2 linked regions of the Xenopus tropicalis genome follow. The protein of the gene in region 2 purifies or fractionates together with the protein of the main gene of each other region. This does not show direct contact. Links are inferred from orthologs where the notes say so. Each region holds a gene or a part of one and is shown on either strand. Other genes may lie near its edges.

What was found. Proteins that work in one complex are often made in the same cells at the same time.
Region 1: the proteins of crtc2 (region 2) and ywhae purify together in Homo sapiens (affinity purification with mass spectrometry; 3 studies listed by BioGRID and IntAct, with this or other methods). This does not show direct contact. The link is inferred for Xenopus tropicalis from reciprocal best matches to the Homo sapiens genes CRTC2 and YWHAE.

What each region holds. Positions count from the first base shown.
Region 1 is NC_030678.2:46,066,568-46,071,624, reverse strand, and holds the start of ywhae (14-3-3 protein epsilon), read left to right. Parts: upstream 1-1,720; 5' UTR 1,721-1,890; coding exon 1,891-1,954; intron 1,955-5,057. UniProt on the Homo sapiens protein: Adapter protein implicated in the regulation of a large spectrum of both general and specialized signaling pathways. Binds to a large number of partners, usually by recognition of a phosphoserine or phosphothreonine motif.
Region 2 is NC_030684.2:144,414,358-144,418,733, reverse strand, and holds part of crtc2 (CREB-regulated transcription coactivator 2), read left to right. Parts: intron 1-288; coding exon 289-357; intron 358-658; coding exon 659-759; intron 760-860; coding exon 861-943; intron 944-1,102; coding exon 1,103-1,152; intron 1,153-2,199; coding exon 2,200-2,441; intron 2,442-2,524; coding exon 2,525-2,931; intron 2,932-3,012; coding exon 3,013-3,786; intron 3,787-4,376. UniProt on the Homo sapiens protein: Transcriptional coactivator for CREB1 which activates transcription through both consensus and variant cAMP response element (CRE) sites.

The DNA.
Region 1 (5,057 bases), on a different chromosome or scaffold from region 2:
GTTTTTTCCAAAACACATCAGTTAATAGAACTTCTCCAGCAGAATCCTGCATTGAAATCCATTTTTCAAATACACAGACCCTATTTCCTATATTTATTATTAAAAGGTCATTTTAATATATATTTTATTTTAAAATTTCACATGGGTCTAGCCATGTCCTTCATTTCCCAGGGTGACTTGTGCTCTGATAAACTTCAGTCACTCTAAAGCTGGAGTGATGTCACCCCCCCTTCCCCCCAGCAGCCAATCAGCAAAAAAATGGGAAGGTAGCGAGACAGCAGCTCCCTGACACCTGTATTGCTAAAAGTGGTAGATGTCAGAATAGCACTTAATAGTAAAAAATCCAAGTCCAGTTTAGGACTCCTCCAGTTACAGGAAAGAGAGAATAGATTATCTGAAAGCAGTGAGAATTTGTAGCACAACTCCTTCTGAAAGATAGCTTCAAGAATAAAAATTTAAATGCTAGAGGGAATGATTTGCTATGTAAACGGTGTAATTTAGAAATAAAAAGTACCCCGTAAAAGTCATGACAGTATCCCTTTAACGGAAGGCCTTACCAGGGATCTATACAGAGTTAATGTCCGTTTTCATGCAAGACTAGTCCCGAGAGATACAGCCTAGAGCTGCACAGTGTAAGGCTGGCCATATACTAAATGATCTGCTTGTTTTGGTGAAGCTGCAAAACAAGAGGATCTCACCTGTATCAGCCCACCTTGAGCTGGTCAATATCACACTGATTCAATTTGATCCAAAGACAGTATGCATTCTGTTAGGAGGAGGACCATGCTAACAAGCTGATTTGGTTCTTGTCCCAATGGGATTTTTTTAACTTACCTGATCAGCAGCTGGCCAATTTTCAGCCAGATAACATTGAATTTGCAGTTAATGTTCACTGGGTGCTTTGCCAGTTCCAGAACCTGCCTGTTAGCAACACGATTAGACAAAAGTTAAGCATGCTCCCTAAAATGACTGCTGTGGGGCCGTCACCCCTAGTTAAGTCACTAAGTAACGCACTTTAATGCACCAGTTGCTGTAACAGTCTGTCACTGGTACCATTTTGTCACCAGTAATGGGGACACAAAGACAGACAACTAATCTCCCTGAAATGCCTTCCCACTGGCATCAGTGACTTGTTGGTGGGAAAGCATACACAGCTCATCCCTTTCTAAAACCAGCAAATGAATCTGTGTGTAACCCCTGCCCTTACATCCCCTCTCACCCATCCCTGTGTTATAGTAACAGCCATGGAGATCAATGGAAATCGGCTGCTATCCTGCTGTTCCTTGCATAACCCTATCATTAGAAGGGAGTGCATTCCTACAGAGGGAAATGTAATTAGATTGGCATCACAGACGAGTTTAAGTGTGATTTAAATTTAAAAAAAAAAGGGGGAATAATAGAAAACTGCGCCCCAGTCACAGCGCAGCGCAGCCCGACCAACTTTAGCGCTCCCGCCCCGCCTACTTACGCAGCCTTGGGAACTACTAGAACAGAAGGATCTCTGACATTACCTGGAAGCTATATAGTATAAAGCCCGTCTTTTCTATTTCACTACCTCCCCCTCCATCACAATAATCAATGAGACAATCGTCCCATACCTCCCGGACTCCCTTATAAGGTCAGCATGAGGTAAAAACCCCGCCCTTTCATGCCTGACGCAAAGCCGTTGGGCCCCGCCCATTTGTGCCGCGCCTGCTGCTGTTGCTAGGGAGCCGTTGCCATAGAGTTGAGCGATTGTCCGCGTGCGCAGGCGGAAGTGCCCGGATTGAGGCTGCCATCTTTCCCGGGCAGAGCTAGAGAGACAGAGAGGTTGAGTCACTGGGAGACGGAGACAGACAATCGGCTTCCATCCGCCCAGTAGATCGCCTTTAATCCCCGCTAGCTACCGCCATGGAAGAGCGAGAGGATCTAGTGTACCGAGCCAAGCTGGCAGAGCAAGCCGAGAGATATGACGGTAAGAAGAATCGCTAAATTCCCCCCCTTAGGTCGACGGGCGGAGAGAATGGAGGCGAGACAAAATGGCGGAGGGTCTAGCAAAGGGAGGGGAGGACAAAGGAGACCCTCATAGTACAATAGGGACTGCTTTTCTGGGATGACAGTTGCTTAGACCTGGCTGCCATTTAGTGTTAGAGGAGCTCCCTGGGGCTGGCTGCTGGCGGCCAAGCGGGAGGGGGCTGTGGTAGGAAGGGAGGCTGCTTATAAAATGGCGACTGCCGAATAGGGCGAGACTATGGGGGGCGGAGGGCGATTTATGGTGTAACTGACCCTTCAGCCTTTTAGGAGGAATAACAGAGGCTTAGACTGGGGGGCAGCTCCCCTATTGATACACTACACATCCCAGCATGCACTGCTAACCGGGCTGCACGGAGTGCATGGGAGCTGTGGGACCGCAGAGGGGATGTAGGGATATATGTGCCGGGGATAGGGCAGTGTGCTTATGGGCGGATCACTGGGGAAGATGGCGGCTGGGGCCGGTAAAACGTCTGCAGTGGTGCAATTTCCTGGATATGTGGGAAAAGCCGCTTGTCTGGCAGCGGAACAGGGGGTTAAGGCATCGCCATGGAAATGGCACTTGGGTGGGATGGCCCTCAGGCTGCGGGCGGCATTTGTGGGCTGAAAGGCTCATTGTCCCAGTCAAGCTGGAATCATGGACAATGTGCAGGTTTCGTGTCTGGCCAGTAATGAGTTCTCTTGGGTTACACACACTGGTCACATAAGGGGGGTCTCCATTATTCCTCAAAGCCCTGCAACCTTCAGCTCTGAACTACAACTCCCAGCATTCCACTGGCTTCACAAGCTGGAAGAGGCACAGGGGTTTGATAGCGTTCCGATGGGATGGAAATCTAGCTCCACTGAGCTTAAAGCTGCATCCAAACGGTGTTTGAATTTTTAAATATATTTTTTCCCAGAATTCCAGCATCTGTCAGCCAAAGCAGTCAGGGTGTAGTAGCTTGCTGGGTGCATCCTTTCATTGTACATTGGTGCAGTGTTATTGTGCAGACCTCCTATCTTTGTTATTCCACTGACAGCAATCTGGGTGGGGGGAGAAGGAAGGGTTATGGTGATGCTGCAAGCCCTTTTACTGTACAAAAAATCTTCCCATGATAGGTCTAGCTCAGATTTTTTTTCATTATTATAAAGGCTGTCTGAGATAACAGCCTATTTTCTATACGTTTTTTTAATTTTCATATGTGATATTTGCCAGGTTAATTCACACTGTCCCAGAAGTGGATTCTATAGTTGGCTGTTTCCTTAGCCAGCCTTGCCTCAGTGAAGCAGTAGGACGCGCCTTGCTGCGCACCTCCGCCCTGGGCCTGGCCTGTGTGCTGTTTCATGCGTCCAGGCTCATTCATTCCTGTCAGACCAGTCCCTCGTCGTGCAGAGGGATTTGTAGATCTGCATCTGGGTGCGTGTCTGTGAAGAGTTGGCAGGTGTGGGCGTGCCCTGTCTGACAGAATGGCCTTAGTCCTGACTGTTCTACAGGATAACAGGCATCCATGGAAAATTGATATATTTTTATTATTATTTAGATCTGGTTTATTTAATTTCCTCCAGCCGCCCTTATTTTTCTTTTACACCCCTAATTAGAACAGATACATTTTCTGTTAAATTTCTCCCACTTAAATTTTAGATATGGAGGAATAATTTATTTATTAAATGCACTGTGATGTTACTTTATACATATTTTAGATAACTCCCCAAGAAACCACATGAGAGGCATTGAAATCCTTATTAATGGAGTGGGGGTACCAGTCACCCACCTCCTTGCATTTATGGAATGCTTGTTTATGTGGTTACCTTTGTCTCACTTGTTTACTATATTTGGAATCCTGGGAATGCTGTAGTGTTCTAGAACAGAGTGTCTGGAACCTGACCTGAGGCAAGAGAATGTCCACTTATCCACATATGTTCATTATTATGTGAATAGCAAAATGTGGTAGGTCCTCATGCTGGAATGCTTGGATATTCACAGAAATGTCATTGTTAGGGAGGCATTAGAACAGGTTTTGAGAACCTTTTTATTCAAGAGATTTAATTTTCAGAACTGTGTGACTGAAACATGCACATCAGATGTGTCTCTAAGATATCTATACCATCCTACAGCTGCCCAAAGACTCCATTTGTATGAGTTATATTTCCACTGAGCTTCTGTATAGCGGATAATACCCCCCCCCCCCCCATATACACACAAAGTTGCTGATTTTTAAAGTGCTGTCTACATAAGTAGTTCTAAAGTCCTGAAGAGTGTTGGGTACCCAGGGTTATCTGCGAAATTTTTTTTGGGGGGGTTTAATGGGGTTTCTGGGGTGTCATTTTTTTTTTTTATTCCTTTACAGTTATTCATTCAATTTTTAAACTTCCTTTTTACTATTTCACTTCTTGCATTATGGTATCCCTCCTGGTAGTCTTTAGATTGTGGGCCAGAACAGGTAAAAAATGTGAGCTGGGTGGGGGTCTACCCAGTTAAACTCACATCGGTCTCTACACAGTTGTATATTTTTAAGAATACACTAACAGTACACATAGGGAACAAAAGTTCAGTACAAATATTTGTTAAAATCTATTCAGTAAAATGGTAAAGGGGCTGTATACTCTTGTTTAACATGAGTTTAATTACTAGGCCTTGTGCCAAACATACTGTTTGCCTATAGTTTTAAGTACAAAAAAATGTATTTACTTCTTGAGCTGGACTGGGAAATTAAAAGCTACTCCATATTTGGTCCTTTCCAGGTAGCAAATGATATTACCAGAGCTCAGATAATTCCCCTTCATACTGCACTTGGTTGGCTTGTATACTGATCTAATTAGCTCTGTTGCAAAAATCAACCATGGTGTAGAACCATTGATTTTTTGATAATAAAAACAGCCAAAAAGTATGTTCAGCACAAGCCCTATTCATTGAATTTATGTTAAACACTGTTTACTGTTCCTTTAAGATACAGTAATAAGCAGTGCTGTCCAACTTCTCATGCAGTGAGTAGATTTGACATTCCACATGAGCATCATATTATCTTAAAATAATGTCATACAAAGAAGTCTATATAGCTCCTTAGTGG
Region 2 (4,376 bases):
GGCTGTGAATGGGAAGGACAGCGGCTGAAGACTAAAGAGCATTACACAGTTTGGGGGGTTCCTGCTTTTGATTGGTTCTCTGGGATGCTAGGGGCGGGGCTTCCTCCTGTGCGCTGCCGGGGGGCTCCTCTCTGGCAGAAGGAGACACATAAGTTAATATATGTGGCTGGAGCACCTAACCACAGGCCTTGTGCCCCCCACCCATTATATACCCCCCCCCCCCCCCCCGTGGCTGCCCACCCCAGACCCTCGGGTCCCTGGATAACTCTGCTGTTTTTCATTACAAAGGAACATGCCCTGGGGAAACTACCCCTCGGACACAGGACAGCTCTTTAGGTTGCCGACCGCCCTAAACAGGTGAAGTTTCTTCTGCCGCTTCCCTCTTTTTGCCGCTTCTCTCTGCCGCTTTGCTGCGTACTGGGAGGAGCTAAGCAGCTGTGTGGCCCCCTCCGCCCCCCCTGTACCACGAGTGCCTTATTGCATAGGGGTGTGTGTGGCTATATGGGTGTGTGCCTGGGCTAGCAGTGGGTGCTTGTGCTGGGTACCATAAGCAACGTGTGGCCCCTTCTGGCTTCAGTGTTTATTTCCTGCTTTGTCCCGGTGGCTACTTGCTGGCCCCTCCCACTAGCCCTGACGTGTGTCCATGGCTTCTCCTCAGGACAAACTCGGACTCTGCTCTCCATACCAGCGTGATGAATCCCAGCTCACAGGATCCATACGGAGCCGCACAGGGCATGGCGCTGCCCAACAGGAGAACCGGTGGGTTGGTTTGTTCCGGTAGTCGCCTGTAGGGGGGGGATTATGGGGTCGGTAGTCAGTTAAAGGCTCATGCCATGTTTCCTTCCCGATCTGCCCCTCAGCGTTTCTCTTTCCGGCGCCGGCTATAGAGGAGGACCTCCACTCAGATAGCAGCCACCTGCTGAGTCCGTGTGATGCTAAAAGGGTAAGTCTGTGGCCCTGTTGGAATGTGTGTGCGGGTTCATGTGGGTGCAGAGAGTGGCCCTGGGTGCCTGCCGTCTCCTCTCATGGGGTAATGGGATGTGCATCTGTTTTGTGTGTACATAAATCATTGCTGCTCTGTTAATATTTTTTTGCCCCACAGATGCTCATGTCGTCTTCTCGGCCCAAATCCTGTGAAGTTCCAGGCATTAAGTAAGTGACAGCCCAGGCCCACACCTTACGAGCAGTAGTACCATAAGGGTTATTTTGCAGGAAAAAGTAGGGGAACCTAGAACCATATTATGCTGTACACTGCACAGTAGGGGTTCCTAGAACCATATTATGTTGTACACTGAGCAGTAGGATTACCTAGAACCATATTATATTGTACACTGGGCAGTAGGGGTTGTTGTTGTACACTGGGCAGTAGGGGTATCTAGAACCGTATTATGTTGTGCACTGGGCAGTAGGGGTATTTAGAACTGTATTATGTTGTACACTGGGCAGTAGGGGTATCTAGAACTGTATTATGTTGTACACTGGGCAGTAGGGGTATCTAGAACCGTATTATGTTGTACACTGGGCAGTAGGGGTACCTAGAACGGTATTATGTTGTACACTGGGCAGTAGGGGTACCCAGAACCTTATTATGTTGTACACTGGGCAGTAGGGGTATCTAGAACCGTATTATGTTGTACACTGGGCAGTAGGGGTATCTAGAACGGTATTATGTTGTACACTGGGCAGTAGGGGTACCCAGAACCGTATTATGTTGTACACTGGGCAGTAGGGGTATCTAGAACCGTATTATGTTGTACACTGGGCAGTAGGGGTACCCAGAACCGCATTATGTTGTACACTGGGCAGTAGGGGTACCTAGAACCATATTATGTTGTACACTGGGCAGTAGGGGTACCTAGAACCATATTATGTTGTACACTTGGCAGTAGGTGTTGTTGTTGTACACTGGGCAGTAGGGGTACCTAGAACTGTATTATGTTGTATACTGGGCAGTAGGGGTACCTAGAACCGTATTAGGTTGTACACTGGGCAGTAGGGGTACCTAGAACTGTATTATGTTGTATATTGGGCAGTAGGGGTACCTAGAACCGTATTAGATTGTACACTGGGCAGTAGGGGTACCTAGGACTGTATTATGTTGTACATTGGGCAGTAAGGTTACCTAGAACCATATTATACTGTACACTGGGCAGTAGGGGCACCTAGAACCATTTGTGATTGTTCTCTTTGTCATTGCAGCATTTGCCCATCAGTGGACGAGCCCACAAGTATCCCTCCAGTGCCCTCTGTCCTTAATTCTGGGGGCTCACTGCCGGACCTGACTAATTTGCACCTGCCTTCCCCTCTCCCCACCCCCCTGGATCTGGACGAGTCAGGATTCAGTAGCCTCAGCGGGGGCAGCAGCACTGGCAATCTGGCCAACACCATGACCCATTTGGGCATCAGCAGGATGGGGCTGGCCCCAGAGTATGAGATTCCAGGTACCACCCAGATAGATACTCGCCCATTCTGCCTTCCCATAATCCCCTGGGCTGGGCTTTAATTTCTCTCTCTCTCTGTGCAGGTTACTCCCCATCGTCAGTGCAGAACTCGCTGAGTCGGTCGTCCCTTCAGTCATCACTGAGCAACCCGAACCTTCAGGCCTCCCTTAGCAACCCCTCCCTGCAGGCCTCCCTTAGCAACCCCTCCCTGCAGACCTCCTATAGCAATCCCTCCCTGCAGTCCTCTCTGAGCAGCCAATCCCTGACCTCTTCCCTCAGCAACAGCAGCCAGAGCCTTCCCTCGGCCTACAGCACCCCATCCTCGCCATCCTCCTCATTCCCTCCCCCGGTGCCCACCCCCATGAACACGTCCCCGCGCCGGAGAGTCCCACTGAGCCCTCTCACTCTCCCTCTGGGGGGGGACTCTAGAAGGGCCCACCAGAAGCAGTTCTCCCCTACTATGTCTCCTACACTGAGTTCCATTACCCAGGTAGGTGTGTGTGTGAGTGGGCGGGGTCACGTGCCCCCCTGTTCCGTGCCCCACCTCTGATCCTGTCCCTTTGTTTCTCAGGGAGTCCCCTTGGATACAAGCAAATTTCCTGGTGACCAGAGGCTGCCCCCATACCACTTTAGCCATGCCAGTCTACTTCACCCGTCTCAGCAGCCTCAACAGCCCCTGCATCAATCCCAGCAGCCTTTGCACCAGCAACTTCAGCCGCCGTCCCAGCAGCCTTTGCACCAGCAACTCCAGCAGCCTTTGCACCAGCAACTTCAGCCGCCGTCCCAGCAGCCTTTGCACCAGCAACTTCAGCCGCCGTCCCAGCAGCCTTTGCACCAGCAACTTCAGCCGCTGTCCCAGCAGCCTTTGCACCAGCAACTCCAGCCACCGTCCCAGCAGCCTTTGCACCGTTCCCAGCAGCCATCACATCAGGCTCAGCAGTCGTCCCAGCAGCCACTATTGCACCAGTCCCAGCAGCCTTTGCACCAATCCCCACACAATCTGCAGAATTCTGTGCACCAGTCCCAGCAGCCTCTGCCCCATTCCCAGTCGTCTGTCAACCAGTCCCAGCCAGCAGCCACCCCGTCCCCGCAATCTCAGCGCCAGTCCCAGGCACCCATGAATCCGTCTCAGCAACAGTCTGTGAAGCAGTCCCAGCAGATGTCTAACCAGTCCTCTCACCACAGTCAGCAGCCTCTGCAGCAGTATTCCCAGAAGCCTTTGCAACAAGCCCCCCCAGGTTCCCAGCAATTTCATTCTGCATCTCAGCACTTTCCTGCCCCGTGCCAGCAGAATTCAGGGGGCCAGCCGTACCAGCAGCTGTTTGAGCATTACAGCCTGGGCAGTGTGAGTATTCCCGGCAGCGCTCTCATCACTGGGTGTCTTTCTCTCTCTCTCTCTCATTGTGTGCTGCCCCATTGCACTTCTAGCTGGATCTTGTATCCTGTATGTTGCTAAGCGGGAAGGGATGCTGTATGTTGCTAAGCGGGAAGGGATGCTGTATGTTGCTAAGCGGGAAGGTGTATGTTGCTAAGCGGGAAGGGATGCTGTATGTTGCTAAGCGGGAAGGGATGCTGTATGTTGCTAAGCGGGAAGGGATGCTGTATGTTGCTAAGCGGGAAGGGACGCTGTATGTTGCTAAGCGGGAAGGTGTATGTTGCTAAGCGGGAAGGGATGCTGTATGTTGCTAAGCGGGAAGGGATGCTGTATGTTGCTAAGCGGGAAGGGATGCTGTCGGTTGCTATGGGGGAAGGGACGCTGTATGTTGCTAAGCGGGAAGGGACGCTGTATGTTGCTAAGCGGGAAGGGATGCAGTATGTTGCTATGGGGGAAGGGACGCTGTATGTTGCTAAGCGGGAAGGGACGCTGTATGTTGCTATGGGGGAAGGGACGCTGTATGTTGCTATGGGGGAAGGGACACTGTATGTTGCTAAGCG